Linked DNA regions of Elephas maximus indicus. The protein of the gene in region 1 interacts with the protein of each later gene in a pairwise test. Links are inferred from orthologs where the notes say so. Each region holds a gene or a part of one and is shown on either strand. Other genes may lie near its edges. The genes, in order: TMEM79, PLP2, RPRM and TNMD.

The links.
Region 2: the proteins of TMEM79 (region 1) and PLP2 interact in binary tests that used the Homo sapiens proteins (3 or more experiments, as listed by UniProt). The two-hybrid records come from large-scale screens. The link is inferred for Elephas maximus indicus from reciprocal best matches to the Homo sapiens genes TMEM79 and PLP2.
Region 3: the proteins of TMEM79 (region 1) and RPRM interact in binary tests that used the Homo sapiens proteins (3 or more experiments, as listed by UniProt). The two-hybrid records come from large-scale screens. The link is inferred for Elephas maximus indicus from reciprocal best matches to the Homo sapiens genes TMEM79 and RPRM.
Region 4: the proteins of TMEM79 (region 1) and TNMD interact in binary tests that used the Homo sapiens proteins (3 or more experiments, as listed by UniProt). The two-hybrid records come from large-scale screens. The link is inferred for Elephas maximus indicus from reciprocal best matches to the Homo sapiens genes TMEM79 and TNMD.

The regions. Positions count from the first base shown.
Region 1 is NC_064821.1:194,076,058-194,084,297, forward strand, and holds the start of TMEM79 (transmembrane protein 79), read left to right. Parts: upstream 1-4,657; 5' UTR 4,658-4,766; intron 4,767-5,549; 5' UTR 5,550-5,592; coding exon 5,593-6,340; intron 6,341-6,644; coding exon 6,645-6,858; intron 6,859-8,240. Other genes in the region: nonsense-mediated mRNA decay factor SMG5, read right to left, coding at 3,051-3,124.
Region 2 is NC_064846.1:122,413,259-122,421,182, reverse strand, and holds PLP2 (proteolipid protein 2), read left to right. Parts: upstream 1-4,694; 5' UTR 4,695-4,798; coding exon 4,799-4,894; intron 4,895-5,962; coding exon 5,963-6,124; intron 6,125-6,225; coding exon 6,226-6,321; intron 6,322-6,894; coding exon 6,895-6,985; intron 6,986-7,285; coding exon 7,286-7,308; 3' UTR 7,309-7,703; downstream 7,704-7,924. Other genes in the region: PDZ domain-containing protein MAGIX, read left to right, coding at 141-309, 991-1,313; PRICKLE3 (prickle planar cell polarity protein 3), read right to left, coding at 7,913-7,924. UniProt on the Homo sapiens protein: May play a role in cell differentiation in the intestinal epithelium.
Region 3 is NC_064824.1:50,633,255-50,640,345, reverse strand, and holds RPRM (protein reprimo), read left to right. Parts: upstream 1-4,992; 5' UTR 4,993-5,192; coding exon 5,193-5,522; 3' UTR 5,523-5,656; coding exon of another isoform or gene 5,657-5,689; 3' UTR 5,690-6,100; downstream 6,101-7,091. UniProt on the Homo sapiens protein: May be involved in the regulation of p53-dependent G2 arrest of the cell cycle. Seems to induce cell cycle arrest by inhibiting CDK1 activity and nuclear translocation of the CDC2 cyclin B1 complex.
Region 4 is NC_064846.1:57,742,288-57,749,990, reverse strand, and holds the start of TNMD (tenomodulin), read left to right. Parts: upstream 1-4,222; 5' UTR 4,223-4,348; coding exon 4,349-4,540; intron 4,541-4,748; coding exon 4,749-4,850; intron 4,851-7,703. UniProt on the Homo sapiens protein: May be an angiogenesis inhibitor.

The DNA.
Region 1 (8,240 bases):
GCTTATTTGTAAGGTGGACTGTCCATTTCACCACTCAACCTAGTCTGCTGGATTCTACTAAAGGAATTGTTTAGCATACTGTTAAGAGTGAAGGCTCTGGAACCAGACTGCCTGGGTTCAAATCCTGGCTCTACTTCTGTCCAGCTAAGCAGCTAAGTGGTCCTGGGCAAAATACCTAACCTCTTTATCTTTCAGTTCTTCCATCTATAAAATGGGGATAATAGCATCATCTAGCTTGTAAGAATTACATTAGCCAATATACACAAAGCACTCAAAACAGCACCTGGACATAATAAGTGCTCAATAAGTGTTAGTCTCCATCCTTCTAAGGCTCAAGCCCTGAGAAGTAAGTTTGTCATCACAGCAAATAAAAGGCCAAGGAAAGTCTACAATCGAAAGCCAAAAAGTCCCAGAGGTAGATGACATCTCCAGAAGGGTAAAACCAAGAGCATGATAGGCACCAATAGGTGAATCAGGCATATATGTGGAAATAAAAGCAACCAAAAAACTGGGAGTGATGATTCCCAAAACAAACTAAACTGTGTTCCTGGGCTGGGGCGGCTTAGGTGGAACACCACTAAAAGCTGTCCTGTAAAGGACAAAGTGACCACCAGCACCCAGCTGAGTGAGTGGGACAGTAATCAAGGCCTTCTCACAGGCAATCTGAGAACTCAGCATTTCTCCAAAAACCTTTTGGGCTGCCTAGAGATGGCAGCCAAACCCTTTTAGCCAGCCTGGCCCTCGGTGCCAGGGACAGCATCTGGCAGCCATCAGTGATTTACTCCATGCCAGCTTAGTCCCCAGGCAGGGCTTCTCGACCTCAATGCCATGGAGAGATCTAAGGTGTTGGTGGTATGTGTTTGTGTTTATGGAGAGGCTCCAGAGCGCTCCTTAGACTTCTCAATCCAAAAATGGTTAATAATCACTACTCTAAGAAGTTCCAATTACAAGATCTCAAATCTGAAAGGGTTCAGCAGTCTTTTCCCCACTCCTCATCAGACCATAAGCTCCTTCCACTAAATTGTTTGTACAGAAACCAGTATTATGACTCATTCACTACTGTAATCCCAGGCTTAACACGGTGTTAATATTTTTTAAATGCTGAAAAAAGAAATAATTAATTTGCCTAATTAATTGGTGCTTTTATTTGTTTCAGAGCCCTGGTGGTACAATGGTTAAGAGCTCAGGCTGCTAATCAAACCGTCAGCAGTTCGAACCCACCAGCTGCTCCTTGGAAGCCCTATGGGGCAGTTCTACTTTGTCCTGTAGGGTTGCTATGAATCGGAAACAACTGGATGGCAATGGGTTTTCTGGTTTTATCCATTCCAGCATCCCTTCTCCTGTTGCCTTTTGAGTGCTTAAAACATTTCAGAATTTTATTTGAGTAAACAACTAGGTTGTGGGAGTTTCCCAAATTTACTGGAGTGTGAGTGGCAGCTTTATAGTCTAACAAGTTTATCTTGGGCAGAGAAGTCAGATCTTCCTTCGCTAGTTTCCTTCCACCAATCGCCCTTGCTATAATAAACAATAAAAACAGAGACGGGCTACCTCAAATTTCCACACTGCTCAAAGCCAACAACATGCAACTGCAGGTACAAATACCCATGTGCACACATGGAAACCACACGCACAAACACACCAGCTTAAGTCAGCTAAGACCTGTGAAGGTAGTGGCTTGAGAAAGAACTAGATTTGAGAATGACAAGAAAGATGACCACAGCCATCCCTAAAAGCTGGAGACTAGTAAGGAATGTTGCAGACATTGCCCACGCTCTGTCTGACAGGCAGCGCTGACATTCGGCAGCATGACGAGGCACACGTGTCACCCCCAGCTAACTCCTTACTTGCCTGGGGACTGCCCGGGGCAGCCCACAGTGGGAGCCCAGGGGCTGCTGGATTGGATCACCTTTCTATTTTTGGAGCAGCCTATGCTCCCCTCTGCCTTCTGCCTTCTGGCTTACAAAACCAGAGGAGGCAGGATGCCTGCTCAGGGAAGAAAACACAACATGCTCTTGACCCTTTCACTGCCTACATGGGGGCCAAGGCTCTGAAGGTAGTTTCCTCATGCAAACACTCCTGTTCTCTATTGCCTGTGATAAATGAAAACCCCAAGTTCTTCTCCCTAAAAGGGCATAAAACTCACCTCATTCTCTACGCTTCCTCCTATTCTGATCCAGTTCTGGGGTCCATGTTCTAGCTGCCCTACCCCCCAAATCCTCAACCCAGGCTGGGAAAAGCTCATACTGGCCTGCTCCCAACAGAGGCTGAAGGGCGAAGATGTGACGTGAGGAGTGGGTAAACACCGTGGAAATCAGAAACCAGGAATGGAAGCTGCCTGGCAAGGGACTGCAGTCATGAGGCTGGGGGAAAGGCAAGACTCAGGAGTCCCTGAGGGCCCTGAAGTGGGCTCCCATTTCCTAAGAACACCCTGAACCCAAAGTCCTTCATGGCCCTTCCTGTCGAACGCAACTAGCCTTCCAGCCTCTCTGTTCTCATTCAGACTCCCCAAAATTTATAGAGTCATAAATGGCTTCAAGAGCTTGTCCAATCCGAATCGCTCCTTTTAAGGACAAGGAAACCGAGACTCAAGGTCACACAGTCAGAAAACGGCGAAGCAATGACCCGAACCTGGCTTTGAGTCCGGGGCTCTTCCCTGTTAAGTCCGGCCCGCAGGAATCCCCTACAGGGTTCTAAGCACCGTTCCCTTCCGGGTTTTTCTCTATCTGCGGCCCCGCCCTCACCTCTCTAACCCTTCCAGCCCCAATTCCCAGCCTCTTACCACAAACCCGCAAAGCTCAGTGCCCGCCCCAAGTTCACCGCGGAGGGGATGCCTCCACGTGCTTCCCTCCAAACCTCCCACCCACCCAATTCCGCCCTTCAGCTCCATCCCGGTTACGGAGCCCCACCCCTCCTGCTCCCTCCAAAATTGCACCCTCCTCCCTCGCCCGCCGCCCAGCCCGGCACCTGGCCCCCGCCCGTCCGGGAAGCCCCGCCCCTCGCTGTCCCCCCACTTCCCTCGGCTGCTGCACTCACGCCCCAGCCCCTCTCACCGGTAAAGCCGCTTGGTGTGGAGGACCTTTGCTTCGGGCTCGCTGCTCTCCCCTGTCGGGGGGCCTTGGCTCATGGTGCCCGGGTCCGGGGACGGCTCCCGGTCACAGGCCCCCGCCACCTACCGCTGCCGCTGCCATTGCCATATCCAGCCGTAGCCGCAGCCGCCACCACCGCCGGCCCTGCTCGGCCGCCATCGCTGTGAGGACGCTGCCCGCGACAGCTCCTCCTCCGCCTGTCAAATCTCGCGATATCAGTCAGGCGCACGGTTGTAGGCCAGTGGCCGGCTACTGCCAAATCTCGCGAAACTCATTTTCCCTCCCGGGAAGTTGCCAGAACTAACTCTGGGCAGCATGGCTCCATTCTGGCTTCTCTAAGCGCTCACGAAAAACTTTATTGACAAAGCTTCCAGAGAACAGACAGTGGACTCAGGAGGCTGAAGCTAAACTGGATTGGGGCAGGAGAGCCAACAGCGAGGGGCGTCCCAGTGATCTGCCCTCATTCCCTCCCCATTTGAGCCGAGCGTCTTTCAGGTTACTGGTTAGAGTGACTCCAATTCTCCCTTTTTTCCATAATTAAAAAAAAAAAAGTTAAAATTTTCTTGGAAAAAGCCAAGGATCACATAGGAGTAAGTCCCAGTGAGACTTTTGTACAAGCATCGCGCCTTTCAGCTCCACCTCCGAAAGATTTTCAGCTTGCGTATCTCTCTCATACCAGCCCAGCAAACATTTATTGAATACTTGCTGTCTTCCAACCACCGTGCTGAGGACACAGAGGTGAGCAAGCTAGACACTAACCGTGGTCTCACAGAGTTCCAATGCCTTTAGGAATAAGATCGCACAGGAATGAAAAGCCACTTTTTCTCCCACTCGCTCACGTAGAAGGATCACCTGCTATCTAACATGGATTTGTATTGCTCTCTTAACCTTAATAAGTTAAAAAGCAAGGTGTCCCCGAGCCTGTTTACAGGTTGCAATGGGAACATAAATTTCCCTTCCACCACTATGCTCTTGGCTCCAGCCACCTGACCTTTCTGCTCCTGAAACAGTCTGTCCTTCCTACCTGTTGGCCTTTCACTTGCTGTTCCTCTGCCTGGAACACTCATACTCCTGATTTCCCATCAGGTCTCGGCTGGAATGTCACCCTGTCAAAGAGACTTTCCTTATTGAAATTGTCTTTTTGGCTTAGTTGCTAGGTTTTTTAATTATCTATCACCCCAATAGAACAAAAGCTCCTCAAGGACAGGGACCTTGGCTGTCACCTTGTTTTCTTCTGGGTCAGTACCTAAAATAGCATCTAGCTAATAATAGTTCAATAAGTATTTACTGAATAAATAAATGTACAAATTCCACCTCTTTTCTGGGCATTCCAACTTATTCCAATACCTGCGAATATACAAACCCACTCTTCCTCCTCTGCTTTCCTAGCTGGGAGCCCCTACACATCCCATGTACCTAAAAAGTGTACTGGTGCCTATGCCCACCTGCACCCCCACTTCCAGAAAGAATGAAGTCCCTCCTCTAATGCCTTTTCTGTCGGCCAATTCAGCTGGGCGGGGCCTGCTCCTTTAATCTGGGCCCCACCTGCTCTGGTCAGACAGGTTTGGAGACACAGGTAAAGAGAGGGAGACGGAGAGAAATACTTGTAGAGCCAGCAGGGAGCTGGGCAGCTCCTTCCCAGACACCGGCCAGGACCCTCCACCTGTCTCCAGATGGAAAGTAAGAGGGTGTCATGGGTCCAAACTGCGAGGAGGGGTAGAAGGGTCCTTGAGGAAAAGGAGGGAGCAGTGAGGTGCAGACCAAATGGCAGGGTGGAAAGAAAGGCAGGAGGAGAGACATGGAAAACAGCCATTATTAAACCTGGAAGTTGGGAATGGACAGACCCCAGCCCTGTGGAGGTAGATGAAGTAGGCCAGTGAGGTGTTTGGAATCTGACCAAATACCCAGATTGGAGCTGAAGGGACAGGGTGCCCTGGGACAGCTAGCTCCCTAGGACATATTTGTAGGCAAATCACGGGCATCCACTGCCACTAGAGTTCCACGTGGTGGTCTGCAGGGGGAAGGGCAGGTGGGAAAATAGGGGGGCAGCTTCTCTAGTCACAGGAAGGTCCTGGGTGGAAAGGAAGTTCTTGGCAAAGTTCTAGACACCTCCTCTTTCTCCCTTTCCTGGATTAGGGTGGCCATGACCCCAGGGGTTTTGGTGGAGTGGGGCAGAAGGCGTGGGTAGGCCAGCTGAGGCCATAACTGCCAGGACCTGTGCCCCCCTGACTCACCGTCTCCTGCTGGTTGGCATTTGGTGTCGAAAGGGAGCCTCCATTTCAGCTGCTCACTTCCCTTCCACCTCCCTCTGTTTCAACACCTTCCTCACAGCATGTTCTCCTTAAGGTCCCAGATGGGGCTCAAGCCCATCAAGGGTCTGTCCTGGAGAGTTCCAGCTCTGCCCGCTTGTCCTAAGGGCCAGAGGACAGGGGCACTGACAGAGCTTCCCTCTGCTCTCTGCAGGGTGACATGACCTCGCTGTAGACCCCAGAACTGAGGCCTCAGCATGACCAAACCTGAGACTGTAGCCCTGTTGGAAGTGAAGGGGTCCGAGGCTTTGGAAAAGAGCCCACCTCAGGCTTTGGTTCCCAATGGCCAGCAGCCAGAAGGGGAAGGTGGGGCTGAGTCCCCCAGAGCTGAGTCCCCCAGAGTGGAGTCTTCGGTTGGGTCTCCCATGGCTGGAGAGGGGACTGAGGATGGTCTGGACAGCACAGTGAGCGAGGCTGCCACCTTGCCCTGGGGGACTGGCCCCCAGCCCAGTGCTCCGTTCCCAGACCCCCCCGGCTGGCGGGGCATTGGGCCAGAGTCCCTAGAGTCAGAGCCACCTCCCAGGCCAGAGGAGCCATCCGAAGATGATGTGAACCTGCTGCCTGAGAAGGCAGCCCGCGCCTTTGTGCCCATCGACCTACAATGCATTGAGCGGCGGCCCCAGGAGGACCTCATAGTGCGCTGTGAGTCAGGCGAGGAGGAGCGCCGGGCCTTTCTGCCCACCCGGGCCACCCACCCTGAGCCCCCTGAGCGCAAGTGGGCTGAGGCAGTGGTGAGGCCACCTAGCCGGTCCTGCAAGGGCTGTGGGAGCCGTGAGGGGCTGAGGGCCGTGGCCTCGGTAGGGGCCGCCCTCATCCTCTTCCCCTGCCTACTGTATGGGGCATATGCCTTCTTGCCCTTCGATGCCCCTCGGCTGCCCACAGTGAGTTCCCGTCTGGTCTACACGCTGCGCTGCGGGGTCTTTGCCACCTTCCCCATCGTGCTGGGTGAGCTCGGGGCCCTTCAGAAGAAAGGGGACATCTGGGAACTAGACTCGAGGAGGGTGGGACCTGCTGGTTTGGGGAGCAGTTGGGTTTCCCTTCACTCGAGCTGGACCCCTCATGGCCTCCTGTGCCCTGCCACCTGTGTGTCCACCCATCTTAGGACCACCTCAGCCCCACTGTGTATAATCTATGCACTTTCCTTCTGTGGGGCCTGCACCCTCCACTGTGAACCCTGGCCCCAGCTTCCTGCCTAAAGCTCCTTCCTCCTGTCTTTCCTGACTCTGTGTGCTCCCCAACCCCACCCCAGGAATCCTGGTATATGGGCTGAGCCTGCTGTGCTTTTCTGCCCTACGGCCCTTTGGGGAGCCCCGGCGGGAGGTGGAGATCCACCGGCGATATGTGGCCCAGTCGGTGCAGCTCTTCATCCTCTACTTCTTCAACCTGGCCGTGCTTTCCACCTACCTGCCCCAGGACACCCTCAAGCTGCTCCCACTGCTCACTGGCCTCTTTGCCATCTCCAGGTGAGTTGGGACTGCGGGTGGAGCTTGAGGGCAAGGCAGTGATGCTAGAGGGACCCAGGCAACTGAATGGCTGGAGAACCAGGGACAGGGGTCTTTCTGGATTCTGCATCAGCCCAAATGTGAATCCTGGAGCAGTGAGTCCACTTTCTCCCTTGCACTTGACCTCACCTGGTAGTGGGTAATCAGCTCATATGTCTTCTCATAGGAAGCTGACTTCAGAGACATATATACCAACCTAGAACCTGAAGGGCATTCAGGCATCATCCTGACCAACCTCCCACCCGTTGTAGCCACTCCTCTGTGGCACTCTGGTCTAGTGGCCATTTGGCGTCTTGTTGAACACCCCCTCAGATAAGGGGCTCAATTCTTTACAAGACAATCTGTTTCACTTCTTAAAGGTCCTGATTGTTATAAAGGAGCCCTGGTGGCACAATGGTTAAGTGCTCAGCTGCTAACTGAAAGGTTGGAGGTTCTAACCCACCACTGCTCTGTGGGAGAAGAAACCTGGCGATCTGCTCCTGTAAAGATTACAGCCTGGGAGACCCCATGGGGCAGTTCTACTCTGTCACACTGGGTCTCTATGAGTCAGAATCGACTCGAGGGCACACAACAATTATTAGGAGTCCCTGGGCATTGCAAATGACTTGCACCCACTACTAATCAAAAAGTTGATGGTTTTGAACCCACCCAGTAGCACCATGAGAGAAAGGCCTGGTGATCTGCTTCCATAAAGATTACAGCCAAGAAAACCCCACGGAGCTGAATTCTACTCTGTAATACATGGGGTTGCCATGAGTCGGAATTGACTTGATGACAACAGGTTAACTGTTAGAAAGTTTTTATGTTGTGCTGAAAACTGCTGCCCCGACCCTGATCTCTGGAATTGCCTAAGGCAAATTCAGGCGTTTGATGACAGCTCTTAAACCCCCTAGCTCAGCACCCTGCTACCCAGTCTCTTTCTTTGCTAACTGCCCAGGTCCCTTCACTGTCCCAGGTCCTTTCCTCTGGGCAGGAAATTCTCCTGCTTGTTAATGGGGACCCTTCAAGGGCACTATCCTATTCATGCAAACCATGGCCACATTAGCTCTCATGGTAGCGTCATTACTCTCCTTTCATTCAGAGTCTGCAGTCCCCTGAAATCCCTAGGGCTTTTTCCACGTGAACTACTGTTCACCTGGAAGGCATCTTTGAATTTCTGAGCCCAAACGCAGGTCTTTCCATTTTTCCCTAATACATTTCCTCTTGTTACTTTTGATACAGGCTTCCAGGTAGCTTTAACTGCTAAAATATTATTCCTTATATCAAGCTAAAATGTGCCTTCCTGTCACTTTTGATTGTAGTCTAGTGGTCAGCTGTACCCCCCTCCCCCAGCCTCCTGACCA
Region 2 (7,924 bases), on another chromosome or scaffold:
GCGCAGCTCTGTGGTCGTTTGCAGGTAAGCACCAAGGCGCCCTCCTTTCTCCTCTGGATGCTATCCTGGACCCCCCCCCCTTTGTCAGGGTGCCCTCCATTGGCCCTTCCTATAACACCCCTTGACTCATGCCCTTGCAGGCCGGCGACCTCGTGCTCCACATCAACGGGGAGTCCACGCACGGCCTCACGCAGGCCCAGGTCGCAGAGCGGATCCGCTCTGGTGGCCCCCGCCTACGTCTTGTGCTCCGCAGGCCTTTTGAGACCCACCCCGGCAAGCCTGAGGGGTTGAGAGGGCCCCAGAAAAGAGGTGGGGGGTGTCCCAGTGGAGGAGGGTCAAGGATCTGTGTGGAGAAGAGGGTCGCAGAGTGGAGGAACTGGAGTCCTGGGTGGGGGAGTGGTTGGCGGTCTCAGTGGCGAGGGTCAGCAGTCGGTGCCTGCTGGGAGAGGTCGTTGTATTTTCAAAACCGGGGCGGGGCGGCAGGGTCCCAGTATGGGAGTAATTGTGCTTTTCAGGGAGGAGTTTTCGAGGTACTGGGAGGGGAAAGGAGGGAAGGGGCCTGGGGTAAACGCGTGTTCAGAGGGAAAGATCGAGAAGGGCAAAGCATAGTGGTCTCAGCAGGGAGGGAATAGGGTCCTAGAGGGTAGGGGAGTCTGGTTCCAAAAGATGAGAAGTTGATAAGGAAAAGGAGCGATGAGACTCGAAGGAGGCCTGAGCGAAGAAAGGGTCAGGAGTCGTACAGGGAAGGGGTTCGGGTTTCCGAGGTCAAGGTTGGGGTTTGATTTCCTTTGAGGGTTGTGGGAAATGATTCCTGAGGAGGGTGTCCTGGATCCAGGAGGGAAAAGGTCTCAGTAAAGAAGGTGTCCCAACCTTTAGGGAGGTTTCTCTCAGGGCGGGAATCTCTGTCTCCGGCAGCCCTTGGAGTATCTGGTGGCCCTCAGCCAAGGTCCCCCCCCCGCCTCCCACCCCACCGCCCAGTCTAACCCGCAGTCCTGCCATTCCTAGATCGCAGCCTGGATCCTAGGGAACTGGAAGTAAGGAGGTCTTGCAGCGCCAGCGCTTCCCCACTTCAGCACCCTGGGTCCCGGACGACGGCCAGGACCCAGGGCCTCCCAGAGCCTAGCTCAGAGGCGGCGGTCAGCGTTGCAGCGGTTTCTCCTTCTGAGCGCCACACGGAAGACCCCGACGACCAGTCTCCCAGCTCCCCGGGACCCTGGCTGTTGCCCAGCGAGGAACGGCTCTCGCGGGCCCTCGGGGTCCCCAGGAGCTCGCAGCTTGCTTTGGAGACAGCAGCCGCAAGGCAGACGCACTGAGTGAACATCCGAAGGCCTGGTGCTCACTTGGTACAGCCCCGCCCACCGCAAACTAGCAAGGTCTGGAGAGCTCCCACTTACTCTGGTGCCCCTCCTGCTGCGCAGTCGACCAGCCCGCCATCCCCTTGCGGCGTTAGTGGTATGGCTCTTCCTGACAGCCCGCCCTGCGCTTCGAGTCCAGAACGGAGGAAGTAATAAAATAGTTTTATCCAGTCTGGACTTGCCAGGTACTCTAAGCAGGGTGGGGCTGCCCAGGCCACCCTGTAAAGGAGCGGTGGGCCAGACTGGTTTCTAGGTGAGACTCTTCTCGTGCTGTTTGTTTCATGTCTCCTGATGGGTGTTTGTTGCTGCCTGTCCCTAGCTGGGCATGCTCTCTCCACACTTCTTTTCTCTTCATCAACTCCTGCTCCTCTGTCCATTCACACATTTCACTTTTTTTGAGGCGCGCGGGGCTCACAGTGCGCGGGGTGGAAAATGCAAAAGTGGGCTTGTTGTGGCGGAAGTGCACCAGTATACCCGCAGCCCCCGCCTGGAATCGTCTAGACCATCAGCTAACGTCCAGATAGCATGGCTAGAAGCAGGGTGGCTTCTTTCGCCAGGAGCCTGCGGTCTCCCGCTTCCGGCCTCGTCTGCCAGCTTTCACTGGCACGTAGCCTGCCACGGCGGGGGAAGGGGCACGGGATGGGGCCCTGGAGCCCCCTTTGGGGTGGAGACTGGAAGGTGTGAGTCAGCGACCCCAGGCGGGCCGGGCTAAAAAAGGCTGTTAAAAACTTTGGGCCACGCCCATCTCTTCCATAGATGGTGACAAACTGCAGCGGACTGAACTTGTGTGCACACGCCACCCACTTGGCGTTCCGGTCCCAGGAGAGGCCCAGAGGCTCCTCCACCCTGGGAACAGAGCCCTACAGCCTTGGCTTACATGCCCAGCGGGACTCCAACCATAGTATCCACGCTCTGGCTGAGGCCAGAAATGACCAAGCACCTCCGCTGTCACCACATCCTGAACACTTGGTTCCATCCCCTCAACGAAAGAAGCTGTGGTCGGCCTGGAACAGGCAACTCTCGCCCCTATTGTGAGAGAAGAAGGGGAAGAGAAATAAACGGCCCTGAGTGTGAGAGTCCAGGGTGGCACTGGTGAGGAGAGAGCAGCTGAAGAGTCAGGCTGGGAGAGCTGGGAGTTGGGGGATAAATAGGTGAACACTGGGATGGTTAGTGTTGTAAACATTATAGGGGAGCATGTTGGGGCTTCCAGCTACCCCTGATTCAGCCTGCCAGAGGTGTGGCTCTACCAAAGTCAGGAAAGGGCCCCAGAGCCCCAGTATTAATAAACACAGTCACACCCAGGAGACTAATAATAGTAACCCCAGCCACCATTTACTTTGTCTTATCCCTGCTACAGGCTTTACTCTATCTCTTTTCATCTCCTTACATCTATTCAACAACTCTCATGCATTCATTTCGCAGAGGAGAGAAGATAGCAACCCTATAGAACAGAGTAGAACCGCCCGGTAGAGTTTCCAAGGAGCGCCTGGCAGATTCGAGCTGCCCACCCTTTGGTTAGCAGCCATAGCACTTAACGACTACACCACCAGGGTTTCCAAGTGAGGCCTAGAGAGTGTAAATACTTTGAGGGAGGGGTTGAAGGGAGATTTAATCAAGGCCTGATTCCCAAACCTGTCCTCTTAATCTCACCTGCATTTGACAAGTATTAATTGAGCCCCAACTGTATATCTTGCACTGTGATAGGCACTGGAGAGTCGGGGGGAACAAATCAGAAAGATTTCTACCCTTGCATAGCTGATGTAGTTCGGGTAAATAGATGTTAGACAAGAAAATGAATAAATAAAAGATAATTTCAGAGAGAAATGAGAGATATGAAGATAGCAAAAGAAGGTTATATTGGGGGAGGTAATGATTGGGAGTTTCCGGCCTCTTTTAACATATGACATTTGAGCTGGGACCTGAATGACCAGAATACAGAGGTATGAAGAGCTAGGGAAGGGCATTGACATCAACGAGAACAGCAAGTACAAAGGCCCTGAGGCAGCACCAAGCTTGTTCTGTTCCAGAAACTCAGGTATGTCCTCACAGAATTAGGAAGCACACATTCAGCACTGGAAAAATATGTTTCATCCCTTCCACCATCCAATCACTCAGCACCCTGGGCTTTGAGGGGCCCTGGATTGGGAGTGAGAGCAGGAAGCCCCTTGGGTTGAACAGTCTTGGCCTTCCAGCAATGATTTTCCCCACCTCAAATGAGAAACCAAAGTCCAGTCTGGAGAGCATGCCCCTAGGCACATCTCAGGGAATCTTGTTCTGCCTGACCAAGTGCAGTGTCAGATGCAGAAATTGAGGCTGGGCCAGGAGAAATTACTTGATCAAAGTAACACACTGCAAATGTCACCAGCATTATCACACCCCAGGAGCCATGCCCTCATCTTGCCAAGCCTTCAGCAATAAACCTGTGCTCCTTCCCCATCCCTCATCTAGATAGGGCTCAGCTGACAGCCCCTCCCCTAAGAACCAGGAAACTGAGACCCAGAATTTATGGCAAAGATATGCAGATCTAAGAACGGAGAATCAGATCCTGGGTCCCATGGGCTCTGACACTATTAATAATGTTCACAGCCATTTACTGAATGTTTGATACTAATCAGGCTATGTTCTCAGCTTTTACACACTCTCATTTCATCTCCCATCACTTCGAAGAGGTTTATCCCACATTCCACGATCTTTCAACTGCAATTCTGAAGTCCAAAAAGCTCTGGAAACCGACAGTTTTCCCACAAGTTTAGCATCATTTGGTTACAAAACCTGACCTGGCCTAACAAGGGACAACTTTCAGCCTTACTTACCTTACTTACTGTGAACGTTCATAACTTTCCTTGAGGAAAAAGAAACGTGTTCGCTTCCTTTTTTTTTTTTTTTAATGGGCAACTCTTGACCCCCTGAGAGTGTTAAATAGTATACTGTATATGCAGCAGGGAAACTTCCTCAAATTCGAAATATTCCAAATTCCGGAAACGTACCTAGCCCCGAGTCTTTCAGGTTTAATCTTGATCGTTTTTTACAGCTAAAGAAACTGAGTCACTCTCACAAAGTCAGATTCCACCGTTCTGAGTTGAGGCAGCCTCCAGCGCATTTGTCTACAAAAGGCGAAGGGTCTCGCGATTATCGCACCTGGTACTTCGAACTGCCAAGCCTCAAAGGCAGGAGCCCTTCAGAGATGGGGTGCCCCACGGCCTGTGCGCAAAGCGGGGAATATCCGTGCCGGGCGGGGCGAGGGGGCTTCCGGGGCGGCAGCCACCTGGCCCGGCCCCCTCCGGCCCCGCCCGCTTCGGCTCCGCGCAGTGATTCACTCCCTCCTTCTCCCCTGGGCCCCCTTCCCGGTCCGACGGCCGACACCACGGCTGGGTGTGCAGCGTCCTCGAAACTGCGAGCAAGCGAGTAGATCCCCTATATCCCCAGGGACTCCGGCTCACGCCATGGCGGACTCCGAGCGCCTCTCGGCACCCGGCTGTTGGATTGCCTGTACCAACTTTTCACGCACCCGAAAGGGAATTCTCCTGTTTGCTGAGATTGTGAGCGTCCTGGGCCAGGCTGGTGGGCAAACGTGGGGTGGGATGGCTGGACCACGCGGAGCCCTGCGGCCCTGTGTGAGGCAGGCACGTGGCCGGAGGTGCTCTGCAGTGGGGCGTGGGTGGGTGGGTTCCTGGTGGAGACCCAAAACTAGGGGAGCAGGGCGAGTTGTTGGAGTTTGGGAATGGTGTTCGGGAGTTCCTGGCCCACGGAATGAGGCGAGGGACCAAGAGAGCATATAGGGGACAGTGTGGTGGGGGCCCGCATGGACTCATCAAAGGGTTCTGGGGGGTTGGGAAGTGGTGGCCTCCAGTGGCAGGGCGTGGCGCGGCCTGGGCACTGGCGGGCGGGCTGGCAGCGCGCCCAGGGGCGGGGCTTGTTGGGGTGGGGCCCCTCGCGCTAGTTTCACAGGGGGAAGGCGCCCTGCCTTCCGCCGGTTTTTCCTCGTCCTTCTAGGACCCGGAAGGAGGTCTTTTAGCTCTCCGGGCCACTGGAGAGTCTGGGTTTCCCGCCCCCTCAAAGTGGACGCCGCCTTTGAGTCACTCGTAAAAGGGGTGCGGTGCCTTTTAACAGATCCCTGTTCCTCGGGTGTCACTCTCTCTGCTTCCAGAGGGGTTGCTGGGGAACCGCATATCCCCACCCTTCAGGGCCTTGAAGCTGGAGCCAGCAGTGCTCACAAAACACCTCACGGCGAGGACCCTCCCCTCATCCGTCCCTGCCCTAAAAGAGAAAAAAGGAGAAGCTGAGACACCCAATTCTACTCATAACTAGCTGGGTGACCTGATCAAGTCGCTTAACCTCTCTGTGCCTCAGTTTCCTCATTTATAAAATAGAGATACTGATAATACTAATAGTAGTACTAATACTACCCAACTTATTACGTTATTGTGATGATTAAGTGAGTTAATATTTGTAAAGCTCTTAGAATAATGCTTAGAACACAGTAAACACACAATTTAAGTGTTTAGCTCTTATTATTTGTCATCTTCTCAGCCCCGAGAGGCTTCTAAATTTGAGACCCCTCAGCCCTGAAAGTTTATCAAGGCCCCTTTCTGGTGTCATCCCTCCAGATATTGTGCCTGGTGATTCTGATCTGCTTTAGTGCCCCGGCAAACGGCCAAGCTTACTACTCCTCCCTGCCTGTGTTTGAGATGATCCTGGCCGCTGTCTTCTTTGTCATCTACATGTGTGACCTGCACACCAAGATACAGTTCATCAACTGGCCCTGGAGTGTGAGAAAGGGGCTGACTTTGGCTAGGCTGGGGAGGCACCAGGCAACTGGGATTATCAAGTGTGTTTTGGGCGTTTATGTCCCTCTTCTCTCTCCTCACAGGATTTCTTCCGAGCACTCATTGCTGCGATCCTCTTCCTGATCACTTCCATTATTGTCCTTGTTGAGAAAGGAAAGGCCTCCAAAATCATCGCTGGGGTAAAGGCAGGGCAGCAGCTCCAAGGCACAGGGAGAGGGGTTCACATTTCTAGGGCCCATTTCTGCCTCTACTTCTGGTAGAAAGTGTGTCACCCTTGGCAAGTCATGCTTGTCCTCAGGGCCTCAAGAGTCCATGCTACAGAAAAGTCTAACTCAAGCCCTGGTTTTGTGTACTCCCGGCTGCTCCTTAAGATCAGCCTTTGCTGTAAAGGAGTATCCCTTGTCTGACACAGGGACTTTTGTGGGAAGTACAAACAGGTGGCCCCTTTGTCAACACACTAGACTACCATCTGCTGGAACTTTGTCTCAATAAATGTAGTTTGGATGATGCCCCCTGCATGTAAGGCCAGGATGTGGCTGCCCTGTGTTGAGAGGTGCTAGGAGGAGGGAGAGTGGGGTAGAGTTCAGTCTCCAGGCCTTTTCCTGGGGCTCTCTGGTTTCCTAACCTGGGGCTTGATTCATCTACATGGGGCAATGATTGGAGGTGGTGGATACAAGGAGGTAAGAGGCTGAGTAGGCTGACCAGCCTAATCCATCCAATTACCCTCACTCCCATTCTCCCCTCACTCCCAGGTACTGGGCCTAATCAGTACGTGTCTCTTTGGCTATGATGCCTACATCACATTCCCCTTTCGGCAGCAAAGACATACAGCAGCCCCCACTGGTAAGTGTGTGTGTGGTGGGTGCTGAGGAGGTAGAAAGGGAAGGGGAGTGCTGAGGGGGCAGGAAAGGGAAAGGGGTCTCCCAAGGGCATGAATGCCAACTCTGTCCCTTACTGGTACTTATAGCTTTGGCCCAAGGCTTGTCCTTTCATCCCCCCAACCCCAGTGCCGTCGAGTCGATTCCGACTCATAGCGACCTATAGGACAGAGTAGAACTGCCCCCACATAGGCTTCAGTATAATTGTCTGTAAAATGGGCATATGGATCCAGCCAATGCTTTCTCTCTTTTCCTCACCCTGCAGACCCCGCAGATGGCCCGGTGTAGATGAACTCTCCTAATTTCTCTCTGCAACCTTCAAATAATGCCTCCATCTAATAAGTCCTCCCCACCCCCACAACAACATTCCCAGCCAGCCCCCAGTCCCCTATTGAGGTAAAAGGGCCTTTATAGGGAGAATTTGTCTTCCAGCCTGTCAATCAACCCTCTTGGTGTGGCCACATTTATGGGTGTGGCTACCTCCCCCTTTCCTTCTCCAGTATCCAAAGGGAGACATCAGTTCTGCCTGGACCATGCCCCACCTAAGTCACAAAATGAGTAGGGAAGGGCACGAGATTGTGACCCACTCCAGATCTCCTTGGTGGGGGGTTTCTATGGAGGGATAAATAAAAAAAGATGGTTAGAGAAAATATGATAATGAATAAATTAATCCTTTGATCAAATGTGGATAAATTTCAAGCATCAGGAGGGGGAAAATTTGGGGGGTGGTCTGGAGCAAGGAGGCAAAGAAGCCAGGCCTGTTTTACAACAAATATTAATTATTTCAATAATGCAAACACAAGGGAGGAAGGAAGGGGGCTTATGAGTCATGCTGGGGGTCCTCATCTGCACTGACTCAAAATGGACCCCCTCACCCAGGACTGCCTCAGTTTCAAGCCACTAT
Region 3 (7,091 bases), on another chromosome or scaffold:
CACTAACCTTGCCTCATTAACATAACAAAGACAGCTCATTCTCAAATGGCATTATAAACATGGGCATAGAGATTAGGATTTACAGCACATATTTTGGGGGGACACAATTCAATCCACAATATTCTACCCTTTGGCCCTCCAAAATTCATGTCCTTGCCACATTCAAAACACATTCACCCCATCACATCATCCCAAAATCTTAAATAAACTCCAAGCCCAAAATCTCATCTACCGAATCATCTAAATCAAACATGGGTCAGAGTTTAGGTGAATTCCATCTTGGGGCAAAATTCCTCTTCATCTGTGAACCTGTGAAATCTAGAATATAAGTTATCTGTTTACAAAGTACAATGGTGGAACAGGCACAAGGTAGACATTTCCATTAAGAATGGGAGATATTGAAGGGAAAGAAAGCACAATAGGCATGAGGAAAGTCCAAAACCCGGCAGAACAAATTATATTAGCTCTCAAGGCTTGAAAATAATCCTCTCTTCTCTGAGACTATCTGGGCAATGGACCCATCCTCTAGACTCAGGGTGTTGGCCACACCTTTTGAATTCTGGGTGGAGGCCCCTCATTCCTGGGCTTCACCTCCTTCTTCCAGGTACTTTGGGATAGCAACTCTGCTCCCTTGGCTTTAGGTGGCCCCATTCGCCTAGTCCATCTGAGCGGCAACTCCATCTCCTAGGCCCCGGAAGGCTCCATTCTTCTGCCCCTTGGGCATGGCAGCTGTGCCCCCTCAGCTTTCAGTGGTAGCCCCATCTCCCTGGAATGCCTTAACGGTAGCTCCACACTCCAGAACTGAGTTGGCAAAGATCTGACTCTTTGAAACCTAAGAGACTGCAGCCCTGCCTTTTGAGATCCAAGAGACTATGACCCTACCCTTTAAAATTGAGAAGGCCCTGCTTTCTGTGCTCCTTCCAACAGTTCCACTGATCTCTGAGCTACTCCAGGGATGGTACTTTTCCTTTCTTGGAGGACAACAGATATAGCTCCTTTGGCCTGTATCCTGCCTGTAGATTCAAAGAGGCAGACAGTGTTCTTTCCTTTAGCTCTTTCTGTCCCCTTCTGTCTAAGCTGATGGGTTTTCTGCTGTGGTAGTTAGTTAAATCCATTAGTCACAGACTTAATCTCTGTAACAAAAGATTGTGTAGCCATGTCCTTGGTGAACATTCTAGGACATGTGTTCTTAGTTTGTACAACAGAATTTTCCAAGTCTTTAAGTTCCGTTTTCATTTTGCACAGTTCATTTTTAAGTCCATGTCTTTCCTCTTGCATTTTACTATAAGCGGCAAACAGAAACCATGTGGCTCCTTTAAGAGCTTGCTTAGAAATCTCCTCAACCAGATATCCAAGTTCATCACTTACAAGCTCTACCTTTCACCAAACGTTTGAACATATCTCATACAATTCTTTGCCACTGCATAAAAAGCACTGCCCTTCCTCCATTGTCCAATCACATATTCATCATTTTCTTTTAAAGCTTCAGCACAAGCGCACCGAATGCCCACATTTCTAGAAATATTCTGTTTCTGGAATTATACATATTCTCTAAGATGATAGAGACTTTCTCTACAGCTCTCCTCGTTTCCTTCTGAACCCTCACCAGAATTGCCTTTGAGGTCCATAATTCTACCAACGGACTCTTCAAGGCAATCTCATCTTTTACTATTAAAAAAAAAAAACTATTAGGCACCTTAAAACTCTTCCAGCCTCTGCCCATTACCAATTTTAAAACCACTTCTACATTTTAGGTTCTGTTAGAGCAGCACCACACTCTTCAATACCAAATTCTGTCTTAGTTATCCAGTGCTGCTATAACGGAAATACCACAAGTGGATAGCTTTAACAAACTGAAACTTATTTTCTCACAGGTTAGGGGGCTAGATGTCCAAATTCAGAGCTCTAGCTGTAGGAAGCGCCATATGGCACTGGGCTGGAGCTGTAGGGAAATGCTTTTTCTCACTACTGTCTCTGGAGGAAGGTACATGTCTCTTCAGTTTCTGCTTCCTGGTTCCTTGGTGATCTCCATGTGTCTTAGCATCTATCTTACCCCATCTCTCCTGCTAGCTTTCATTTTTTCTCTTTTATACGTCAAAAGAGATTGACTCAAGATATACCCTATACTAATCCTGCCTCATTAACATTTTACAAAGACAACCCATTCCCAAGTGGGATTATCACTGTCTTAGTTATCTAGTGCTGCTGTAACAGAAATACAACAAGTGGATGGCTTTAACAAACAGAAATTTATTCTCTTACAGTCTGGGAGGCTAGAAGTCTGAATTCAGGGTGTCAGCTCCAGGGGAAGTCTTTCTCTCTGTTGGCTCTGGGGGAAGATCCTTGTAATCAATCTTCCCCTGAATGAGGAGCTTCTCAGCCCAGGAACCTCAGGTGCAAAGGGTATGCTATTCTTCTGGCTCTCATTTCTTGGTGGTGTAAGGTCCCCCTGTCTCTCTGCTCACTTCTCTCTTTTATATCTCAAAAGAGATTGGCTTAAAACACAATCCAATCTCATAGATTGAGTCCTGACTCATTAACATAATTCCTCTAATCCTGCGTCATTAACATCATAGAGGTAGGATTTACAACACATAGGAAAATCACAACAGATGACAAAATGATAGACATACAATACCGGGAATCATGGCCTAACCAAGTTGACAGAGATTTTGGGGGAACACAACTCAATCCATAATAATAACCATATGCATAGAGGTTAGGATTTACAAAACATATTTTGAGGGGACATAATTCAATCCATAACACCTTACCGCTCTTAAGAATATACTCCTAAAATGGAAATGTTTGACTGGATATAAAACCTCCTATAACTCCAAAGGTCAATCATCTTAATGCTGACTTCTTACTAAAACAATAATACTGTTAAAAGTAACAACTATACTTGGTTTCTGATAATGATTCACCTAATATTTTTAGCAATATGTGTAACACAGATCCTGCCAAGCTGGATCTTACAAGTATACTATAAATTATGTCTGTCTTTTTGCTTGTGCCACATACAGAAGGTGCTATTCCCTTTCTATTTATCCTCACCCAAATTCTATTAAACATGAGACCTGACCCTGTGCAAGCTGACATTCCCAGAACCAAGAAGTCGGACTCTATTCTGTGATGACCTCTTGCTTTTCTAAATTCCTGTTGCATTACTTGCCTCTACCATTCTTTTTAGTAATGCTTTATACTGTCTTAAATTCTCCTGTAATTTTTTTCACATATGCATTGTCTTATTATTCCTAAGTATCATTCATATTAACTAAGATAGATTGATTCTATAGTGAGATTTAAGTAAATTCTTCCCAATTTCCAATAATAAATTTTTCCAAAGGAAATTGTTTGAGTGGGGCATTCTCACAGCTGACCTAATCATGAGAAACCGGGGCAAAAAAAAAAAAAAACGTAAATTGTGGTTAAGGCCCAGAAAACTGAGCCTTCTTTTAAACATCTCCCCGAAATAACAACAGCAATTTATTGAAGTCAGAACAGAGTGTACAGCAACAGATTTGGTTTATACAATGAACACAACACCCAAATATTACCAAATGGCAGTTCCTTCTATTTTGTGGTTGTCATGAAGTAGTGCAAAATCATTTGAGATCTCTGAACATGGAAAAAATAAGAAGGTTGAACAAGCAAATAGAATGGAATTGAGAGTAGAGTTGAAAATGGTCTAAGGTACCATGTTTCAATAAAAACCAGTAAATTCATGCTGTCAAAAGTTTGGACTGGGCTTCAAATTCCTGGTTACCAACTCTTACAGCTTCAAGAAAGAAAGGGAGGGAGGGAGGAAGTGGGAAGAAGGAAGGAAGAAAATAAAGTAGGAAAGAGAAAACAGCTGAAGTGTTCTTCTAAATCTTAGGAAATGATCTGAGAAGTGCATAAAACTTCATTGAAATCAGCACCAAAAACGTAATGAATGGGCTGAAGCCTCAGCCAGCCCCCTAAAACAGCTGTAGTTTAGTTTAAAATGACTAAGGGTGAAATACATCAGCTCGTGGAAAATGGGAGGGCTTCCAGAAGTCTGCCAGCGTTCGAGGTGATAGATGTTGATGAGAAATTCCCTTAAACGGATTTATGGCCAACAAACTGAAAGGCTGGAAGTATATCCAAAAACTCACCTGCAATTAAGATTGCAAGCAAGTGGCCACTCTCTCCACCTCTCACTCCCTTACCAGAGAAGTGACCCTGCTCCTGGCAACCATCTCCCCGCAGGGCCAAAGAACACTTCCTTCCTCTGACCTCCTTTCCTTACCCTCAAAAATCACTACAAAATCTCCCTTGCTCTGTTTCCCAACCGTTTTTGTGACGGGTAGAGGGCTCTTCCTTCCTCCCTTCCCCTTCTATCCTTCCTTCCCGCCTTCTTCCCTCCTTCCTCACTCCCGTCTTCTCTCTCTCCATCTCGTCCTTCTTTCCCCCCTAACTTCACTGTTTAGAAAACAAACAAAACTTTCAACTCACCCCCACTCCACTAGAAATGCGACACAGGAGAGAAGGCAGGCACAGGCAAAAGGACCGCGCATTTGCAAGGACCATCTGGCACCTGCGATTCATCACCACTTTGCATGCACTCAGAGGTGAGAAGGGCAGAAGGCAAAGGACGTCAAGAGCTGGTGTGACCCAGTTCCTCGGAAACTTTCAGCTGACCGCAACCCCTCCTCCCTCCTCTCCTCCAACCTCTTTAATCATCCATCAAGCCAGGAGAGTGCAGTGACCTCTGCCTGGCCTGAGGAGTGGGAGAAGAGGCGAATTGAACAAGACTAGGTTCGCCCCTTTGCTTCCTCCACCGCTCAATGACAGCAGGTGCAGAGTCACCGCGCGGCCGGAAGAGGCCGCTGTTCGCTCAGAGCAGCCGCCAGGGCCGCCGCCACCGCCCGCACCTCCCACGGCCCGGCTGGCCCAGCCCCGCCAAGTTCCAACAACCCCCCAGCGAGCGAGCTCCGGGAACAAGCACCGCCCGGGCAGAAGCGGACAGCGCAGAAGAGCCGGGCTGCTGCGAGCGTCGGAGAGGCTCCGGGGAAACTCCCACGGCCCAGGGACTTTCGAAAGGAGATAAAGACTAGACCCGCGCTCAAATCTGCAAGTGAGCGCTCAGCGGGGCACCTGTTCCTCCCGCGCCACCGCCTTCCCAGCCCTCGGATCCGCGCCTCCCGGGGCGCCCGCCTGCTCCCGCGATGAATCCGGCGCTGGGCAACCAGACCGACGTGGCGGGCCTGTTCCTGGCCAACAGCAGCGAGGCGCTGGAGCGCGCAGTGCGCTGCTGCACCCAGGCGTCCGTGGTGACCGACGACGGCTTCGCCGAGGGCGGCCCGGACGAGCGCAGCCTGTACATCATGCGCGTGGTGCAGATCGCCGTCATGTGCGTGCTCTCGCTCACCGTGGTCTTCGGCATCTTCTTCCTCGGCTGCAACCTGCTCATCAAGTCCGAAGGCATGATCAACTTCCTGGTGAAGGACCGGAGACCGTCTAAGGAGGTGGAGGCGGTGGTCGTAGGGCCCTATTGACCGGCCACCCGGCCCCCGCGGCAGCCGCCCCCACGCCTTCCCTCTTCGCCCGCCCTGCTGCGCCCTTTACTGTCCCAGACGGGGCAAAGCAAACCTGTCGGAGTCAATTATTTCTCTCGACTTCTGCCTTTCAGGATGAAGCGACCGGTTTTTCGCTCGCCCTCTGAAAGCTCTGGTGCCTGGCTGTTGGAAAAGGAGAGCGGCCGGACTTCTGGACTCGGCAGCAAGTGGCGAGAAGAGGGCGGTTAGGGCTCAGAACTTTGGAAGCTGCCGCTGGCGTGGGATGCGGGGAGACCGACGGGGCGGAGGCCCTTCTCCACCCGCAGGTGGGCCGAGCGCTGGGGGCAGGCGGACAGGGCGGGCAGGGGGAGACCCAGGGGCACCGATCGCCTGGTGGCCGAAAAATGACCTGTGTATGCGCCACGCAGCAGACCTAATGGGGACTCACAAACCCGTGTCTGGATTCCCGCCCACTCCCTCTCGCTCCCCATAGCCCTGGCGGGGAGAGGCGATAAATGCCTGTGATTGATTGTAATGTGTCGTTTTAAGGGATTTTTGTTTGTTTGTTTTTTGCTTGAATACAAATATTTGATAAGTTCTTTTCTGCCCGAGTAGTCTGTTTGCCTGCCTGGGGGTTAGAATTTTGTTACCGTGGGAGAATGGGTGGGGTAGGGGGGCCTGCGAATGTGAAAAGGGTAAGTTGTTTCTTTTACTGCATTTTCAACTGGCTCTTTCTGGGTGTGCTGGACCCCCAGCTGCCGCCTCGGTAAAGACCCGGAATAGAACTCATAGCTCGTGACTGCACAGTTTACGCCACAAAAGTGCTCTTGACATCCGTGACACCGTTTTTGACTTTTTTTTCTTAAGATTTCTTTAATAAATGCGACATTTAAATGTTTTGTGCCTGGCCTTCGGGTAGTCATTCTGCGCTCCCCGGCAGATGGGAACAGGCAGGGGTGAGGAGTGTGGTTGTGGGCCTTGGAGAGCTATGCTTCAATTCGTGGATCTGATGAAGAGGTGAGGGTTGGGGCGAGACCGAGAGGCCAAAGGACGAGTGAGACATCCCCAAGCCCCAGGCACAGGAGCCTTCTGAGAGGCAACAGCCTTCGTTTTCTCTTACAGAGTTTCCACTTTATATTTCATTTAAGCCAAGCATTCTGAGCCAGACGAGACGACATAAGGGCCCCGCGGGGAGATTACGCTTCCGTGCCGGGCTCCGGCGGGAAGACGGGGTTACACCAATAATGAAAGGAAGACAAGGCTTGGCCAGCCTTCCGGGACGACATCTCTCCCTAGATCAACGTCAGCAAGAAAGGGTTGAGATGCGGCTCGAAAGAGAAAGAAAAAAACTATAAAGTGCGAAGAAATGTAATTGTGCTAAAGCACATAATGACGCTAACAATCCCTGGGGTAAAGCATTGTCACTAAACCACCAGAGGCATTGTCTCTCACGTTCCGTTTTCTAGTGATTGGGCGAGATTGAGAGACCCAGCCTTCCGTGTAATTTAGTCAGCCCCAGGCCAATAAAAAGGTTCAGAGGAGTTAGCCGAGGTCCTGAAGTAGACAACC
Region 4 (7,703 bases), on another chromosome or scaffold:
TCCTAAGGCAGCATTTGCTGAGCAACTTCAGTGGTACCAGCAAGGAACGCCTGGGCCTTCAAAAAGAGCCCTTGAGAGGCAGCTGAGAGTGGAATTGAGGCTGTAGAGGGAAAGAAGCTCAGGTGACCAACAGGTAGTAGCTAGTCGTAAAATCAACTCGACAGATATCAACCCCAATCTGTGCAAAATTGATTTTGCCAAGTATTCGACATTGCATCTAGAAAGGAATGGGGAGTATAGACGGGAACCGAGTCCCAGAGATATTCAGTGACCTGCCTAAAATCACACAACTTGTAAGTGGTAGAGTTGAGGCTGGGACTAGAATCTGATCTGGGGATTCTTTCCACTATTCTTCAGTTGCATTTAAGAAGGGGTAGGGTAGCGAGTAAGAAAAAACTTCCCAACCGGCTTGAGTCTGTAGATGAAAGAAATGGCTTTTTCTTGTTGAAAAAGAGGAATGTCTGTGCTGCTTATGCCAATTTTTTTCAGGGCTAAGAACCAGTGATTGAAGATGCAGAAGTCCAAGTTTGCGTAAGAAACAGTCTGTCTGCTCTATGTTGGTAAAGAAATACCCCGAGGCCCTTTAATTCACACAGGCTAGGTTGGTAATGATATGATACAGTGCATTCCCTTCCCTTCCTTACAGCCTAACACCTGCTAGCCAGTTATTCTGAGCATGTATTTCACCTTTGGAGGGTGTACCTCATAAACAGACAGTAAAGGATGAAGGTGGAGAGAGGAGCAGCAAGATTAATCACAGACTTCAAAAAACAAACCTAAGCCAAATGTCCTCAAATCCCTTCCAGGGCAGGCTAAAGCTACTTGCCCCCAAAACAGATCCATCACACTGAGGTCTGAGGCAGCTTTACTCTTTATAAAAAGCTTTCTTTTCTGGTCTCAGAGACTGTCACAAACAAAGGTAAGAAAACAAGACAAACTGTGAAAGAGGATGTTAGGGATCATTTGCTGCCTGAGCGGAGGATTTAACTAGACTGAGGACAGAGTTCCTGGGCAGGGAAGAAGAATGAGTTTATGTTGTTTCCATGTTTTGTCAGTGTAGCCTTTTTACACCTCTCACTGCCTGGGCTTAATCATGTATCTATCTCATTTCACCTCGGAATCATATGCCACTCCATTGGCTTTCCTGCCCCACTCCAGTATTCTGATTCTTATAGTTAAGGCCAGCCTTATGTGTGGGTGGAATACATGCCCATTTGAGAGGTGCTGGAAAGATGCCTCACCACCAAAATATTTCCTACTTCTGGTGTCGCAGTGCCTAAAATCCACCATTAGCAATTCATTCCTTTGAGTTCAATATTGCCTCCAATTTTTTTCACAGACAAATATCCGCCACTAACATCTTAGTGTAAAATTATTTGTCAAATTGATTTCTTCTTTGACAGAAGAGACCTGAAGCACCATGAGATTCCTAGGTGTCTAGACAGGAGGCAAAGGGGCTGAGGGAGATGGGAAGAGGAGGGGGAAGGGCTAGAAAGGTACAGAGTGAGCAGGATATGAAAAGAGAACAGAAAAGGGAACTAAGAAGCATCAAAGACTAACTTTCCTTATTTGCCAATTTGGCAGGAGTGTACTCTTCGTCACACTCTGTCCTTGCTCTGTCCTTCCTGGAATAAAACTGCGTTGAGGTCAGAGTCTGAGAGGAGCTACTGGTAGACCACTCCCACCTTCCTCAGGCCAGTCGTCCTGTCTCTGCTCTGGTTTGCTCCTGGAAAGGACAAAACAATTTATTCATCCCCAGAAAGACCCTCACCCCCTGAGCCAGGGAGCTTAGTAGAGAGCAAGACACTTCTGAGGCCAAAAGCATGAGCTCAGTCTTCATATGGGCCAGTGAAGCTTGCATAGCCATTACCCAAGCAATATGTTCCACAGGGACCCAAGCGAGACAGTATGTCTGGATTTGCTCAAACCCATCCCCAAGCAGTCCAAAGTGGGTCACCGGCATCATCTTCCTAGACAAAAGTCAGTCTGTTCCAAAAGGACACCTTTGATAATGGAATTCCATCTGGGTAGATATATATAGCCCTCACCCCACCTCCATCCCCCACCAAGGATTCACACATAAATGAAGTCATTCTGATCCCACTTAATTAACAATCCACCATTCCTAAATAAGCGGGTTGATAAATGCAATCAGAACGGACCCCCCCCTCAAAAAATTATTTGAAGGAATGTTGAAAATAATCAAGATCTGCTGAGCTTGGCAGTTTCCAGTAGTTTTCATCTAGCAAGGTGTCCAAGTGAAGTACATTGCCAATAGTGCAGGAAAACTCATTCCACAGAAGTACACTGAAGTTCTAAATGTCACCAATATAGTTCCATAGTCTTCTACTAATGATTGAAAGTACAGCCTGTATTTTCTCCTTTGCCCAGGTAGGCAGCATTCCAACATCCCCTAGTCCCTAACCTCATTTTTCCATGCAATAATCAATCAGTGGTGCTACTGATGAAACAAACACCCTACCCCGCCCCCCAGTGGCTATTGGTGTTGACATTTGTCTTAGCAATGGATAGTATTTCTAACGAAATTCCCCCCCTGTCGGGAGACCTGACAAGACTGGATCTGAAGTAGATGCCTCTTTCCTCTACTTAGGTCAGGCCGACTGAGAGCTCAATTTGCTGCCATAGGTAGAAGTCTCTCTTCTCAGGCTGGCTGCAGAGCTGGAACTGAGGACATATTTATAGCTGGAAGCAAATAACAAGCCTAAAGGAATTTGCTACCTGTCACAAACCAGGCTGCACTTCCTGAGGTAACTCTGCAATTGCCGAAGGATGCTGAATGAGGTTTTTCTTCCCCTTTTAAAATATGGTTTCTTAAAAGACCTTTGCCAATGCTCAAAATATCTCTTTAGGAAAATGAGAATTTGCTGTTGATAGGGAAAATGCATCCAACAAATACTTAAAAAAAAAATTTTTTTTTTAACCAAGTCCAAACCACCATCAGGTGACAATGACGTAAGTGCATTGTCTCTTGTTTTTCTATTCAGCAGCTAACATTAGACTTCTCACGCCTGAAGTGACACTTGTTTCTACAAACTGTTCCAACTTGTTTTTCTACCTGAGTTGGGGAAAATTTGACCAGGTTAAACTAACATTCAGTCACAGACATCAGCAGACATTAAAAAACAACCCAACCCAGTACGAGATCTAAGAGGCTGCCACTGGGAACATTAGAAAGCAATGTTGGCTCTCCACATCACTTGCTTTTTCAGGCTTTCAGTTTTCTCAATTTTTTGCTAAGAGAAAAAAATGAGTTTGAAGAAACTTGATCGCTGAAGGCCTCCTAACAATAGGGATAAGATAGACTTCCAAATAGGACCATCAGGACTGGCCTGGTTTGTGACAGGTGGCAAATTCCTTTATGCATGTTATTTGCTTCTAGCTATACATATGTCTTCAGATTTAGGTGATGAGCTTATTCCTAAAATGGGCTACTTTGTGGGACTGATCCTCTTGGTTCTTAGAAAGAAGTGTCTCCTTCAGAGGGCAGGCAAAAAGTCTGGGGGTTTTATTCTAACCACTCAAGAAAAACCTGATAAGCAGCTTTTCCAAGGCAATTTTCTTGGGAGACTTCATATTGCTTAGCTCAAGGCATTTGACACAGTTGCTGAATTCTATATAAAGGAGAAATCTCGAGAACTTGGAAAGAACTGAATGAATTTTGGCAAACAGAATTCAGGAATAAGCTGGGTAGAGTTGCTTCATCTATAAAAGAGAAGACTCAAGGAAAGCAATAAATGGCTCCAGGAAGTTTAATGGCCAAAAGGAAGGAAGCAGGGGCAGGGTAAGACTGCTACCTAATACTGGCCAAGGAGAATGGTCTTCAGACCTTAAAAAGGACAGATACAGACCAATGAGGCAGTGTTAAAGCCCTGGATAGATGAGGAGGGAACAGAACCTAACCACTCAAAATGTGTTCTAATCCCCCAGCTCTGGTGAATTTCATTGGGGTGGGGGTGAAGTGAGCACTGAGCACTTAAAGAAGGAAGTGATAGCCTAAAGAACCTGCATAGGTTTTAGGGTCATCCCTCTGCTTAACGCAAGGGGAAAATACACTACAGGCTGGTTTGGAGGATATTATTTGCTATTTAGTCAAGGCTGCCAAGAAAACTGTTGGAATTCTTAGTAATTAGCTCAGCAACTTGGCTTGAATATAAAAGCCTGGCTCTGAAGGGATCCCCATATCAGCTCTAGTGCCAAAAAACACCTCACTTTAATCTCAAATCTCAAGCCTCAGAGAATTCCCAATGGCAAGCTGCTGAGATGGTACCTCACTACAAAAGATCTGGAAAGAGAAGGCACCCCAGATATTACCCAATAAAAGGATCTTATGAAAGGACACAGTGAGGGTCTTAGAATTTTATTTCTTCTGTTCTCCCAGACCTACGACATGGAGCACACTTTCTACAGCAACGGAGAGAAGAAGAAGATTTACATGGAAATTGATCCTGTGACCAGAACTGAAATATTCAGAAGCGGAAATGGCACTGATGAAACATTGGAAGTACATGACTTTAAAAATGTAAGTTGGATTTTTCCTCCGAAGGCTTGCTTTAAAATATTAAAGCATTTAAGTCAAGTTAAAAATAGCCTTTAGTCTCCGTTTAATTTATAAGACAAAGCTTTCCCATTGAGCTCAAATTTTGCCAGCTGGGAGCCTTGACAGATCATGGAATTTATTAATTGTGGTTATTTCAGGATGTTTTGTTATTGCTTTGTCTGTTTTTTAGGGATACACTGGCATCTACTTTGTAGGCCTTCAAAAATGTTTCATCAAAACTCAGATTAAAGTGATTCCTGAATTTTCTGAACCAGAGGAAGAAATAGATGAGGTATGTAAGAACAATAATAGTAGTAGCAAAAGCCATCATTTATTTGGGTGTCAACTATGTGCCAAGTGCTACGCTAAATGCTTTACATACGTTAACCTCCCTTTGATTCTCACAACAACCCTATACATAGTTACTATTATTATCCCCATTTTTCAGATGAGGAAACTGGGACTCAGAACCCATAAGTAACTTGCCCAAGGTCACACAGCTAGTAAATGGGGTCTTGAACTCAGGGCTTTCAAAACACTGAAGTTCATGCTTTTAGGAGCAACACTGGACTTTTACACCTGAGTACCAATTCATATTATGTACGTTTGCTTTCAAACTAAAGATTTCTAGTAGAAGGGGTGAGCTAGAGGGAAAAAATCAATCCTGTCTAACAAAGTCTTAAAAAAAGTCCCAACGCCACTGTGGGTCTTTGCCACTTCTGTCACACTGCCCCATTTGCCTATTTTAAAGATTTCAGTTCATTCACCTTACCATTTTATGCTGGACTGCTAATGAAATAAGCCACATTGTCTTTAATAATTTATTTTGTAGTTAATGAAAATGTACACAGCAAAATATATACCAGTTTGACAATTTCTGTGTGTACAATTCAGTGACACTGATTACATTCTTCAAGTTGCACAACCATTCTCACCCTCCTTTTCTGAATTATCCCTCCATCCTTAACATGAACTCACTGCCCTATAAGTTTTTTCTCCAGCCTTTGGAGTTGCTGTTGTCAATTTGAGTCCATGTAAATAGGAAATAATCCACATTTAACCTTACTGATGTTGTTGTTGTTGTTGTTAGGTGTCATTGAGTCTATTTCAACTCATAATGACCTCATGAGACAGCGTAGAACTGCCCCATAGGGCTTTCTAGGCTATAATCTTTATGGGAGCAGACTGCCAGGTCTTTCTCTCATGGAGCGGCTAGGTGGGTTTGAACTACCGACCTTTCAGTTAACAGCTGAGCATTTAACCATTGCACCACCAGGGCCCCTTTTTAACCTCACCAGGAAAGGTGCTTTGCTGCTAACCAAAAGGTCAGCTGTTCAAACCGAGCAGCCACTCTGAGAGACCCTGCTTCTGTAAAAGATTTACAGTCTAGGAGACCCTATGGGGCAGTTCTACTCAGCCCTATAGGGTCGCTGTGAGGCAGAATCAATTCAAAGGCATTGGTTTTGGTTTGGTTTTTGGAGGAAAAGCAAAGACAGTGAATACTAAGACCTATAAAAAAAAAAAAAAGAACTATAGTGTAATGCAAATTCTCTGGAAATATACTGCTAGGCCAGGGTGAGGCAACCTAGGGTACTGGTGCAATCACTTAATGACCCCTGAAAGGTGAGTGGGAGATTGGGTCATTAAAAACAAAAAAACATTGCCATCAAGTCGATTCAAACTCATAGCAACTCTATAGGACAGAGTAGAACTGCCCAGTAGGGTTTCCAAAGAGCACCTGGTGGATTTGAACTGCTGATGTTTTGCTTAACAGCTGTAGCACTAACCACTACATCACCAGGGTTTCCACTGGGTCATTAGTGCCTAAAATACAGCCATTAATGAATGCCCTAAAGCTGTTTATTTTTCCCTTGAGTTTTGTCTGTAATTACAGTGTGTTGCTATCAGTTGAGGGGGTGTGGGAAATTTCAGCTAAAGCCGTATTTTGACAGCATACCCGCTCTGTAACCAGGAAGAAACACTTTTGTTTGCTTGTTTGTGTTTGTTGTTGTTGTTTTGTTTTATTAGTGCTCAACTGGCAAATCTAAAATGGGATTATGGTAGTGGCACACTGGCCTAACTACACTGTAAATGTTTCTTCTCTCTTTCCCCTGGTTCTTTTTCACTGTCCTCTCACCCACCCCTATCCATGTGAATTCTCATCTACCTTTTTATTGTCTTTTTCTCTTCTTTCTTTGGGGTCCCAGAATGGGGAGGGGGGAGCACTTTTGCCTTTCCCTTGGCCAAGTCTCAGAGTTTTCACTGGGTCCCACAGGCATTGCTCTTTCATGCTACTGGTCTCCTCATGGCCAGAGAAGTTACTGACCTGTATTACTAGACTGTCCAAGAAAAAGAAGAAGATTTCGCCAAAGGTGATGCTCTGCTCCCAAGTTCCATGGCAGTGAAAATTTTTGGAGATTTTTTTTTGAAATAAGTATAAATTAGATTCGCCTGAGGAACAGACCAACTTCCAGGATATTAGAAATGACTATAAGAGGCAAGAGTAAGATGAAAGGAGAATGAATAGGATAAAAAGCAACTATATTCAATATCATGTGCTTTTTTTTTTTTTTTTTTTTTTACAGAAAATGATGTAAGCATTCGAGTAGGGCTGGTGAGCAATGAGAGCCTGAACTGATATAACAAGATGTATTTTTCTCTCATTTTGGCCCTAATTTATTCTTCAGTTAATTTTGTCAAACCTTCTAAGTGACTCAAGTATTCTTCTCATGATAGTAAGATTACTATACCTTCAAGAAAATCCTTTATATATGTACAAAATTTTTATGAGACAAATTTGTGGCCCTGAATAACAAAAACCCTCTTATTCTTCTTTCCCTCACTGCTGTATCCATGGTGTCTGCATGTTAAACATGCAGAGCAGGTATAAAAATAGCCTTGATTTTGCTAACAAAGCTAGTCAGCATACCAACCTCATTTTACACAATCCCTTCACAATGCATCCCAAGGTCCTTACAGACTCAAGGGCAAAGGAGGTTAGACTTGGGAGTTGTAAATGGCTAGAGGAAAAATTATACAAAGGCATATTTCAGGGACTAAATAAAAACACTGAAATCATAAAGCTAGAAAGAAACAAAAGAAAAAAACCTTATTAAGAATAGGGGAAAAAATGTCTAAAGCCCAA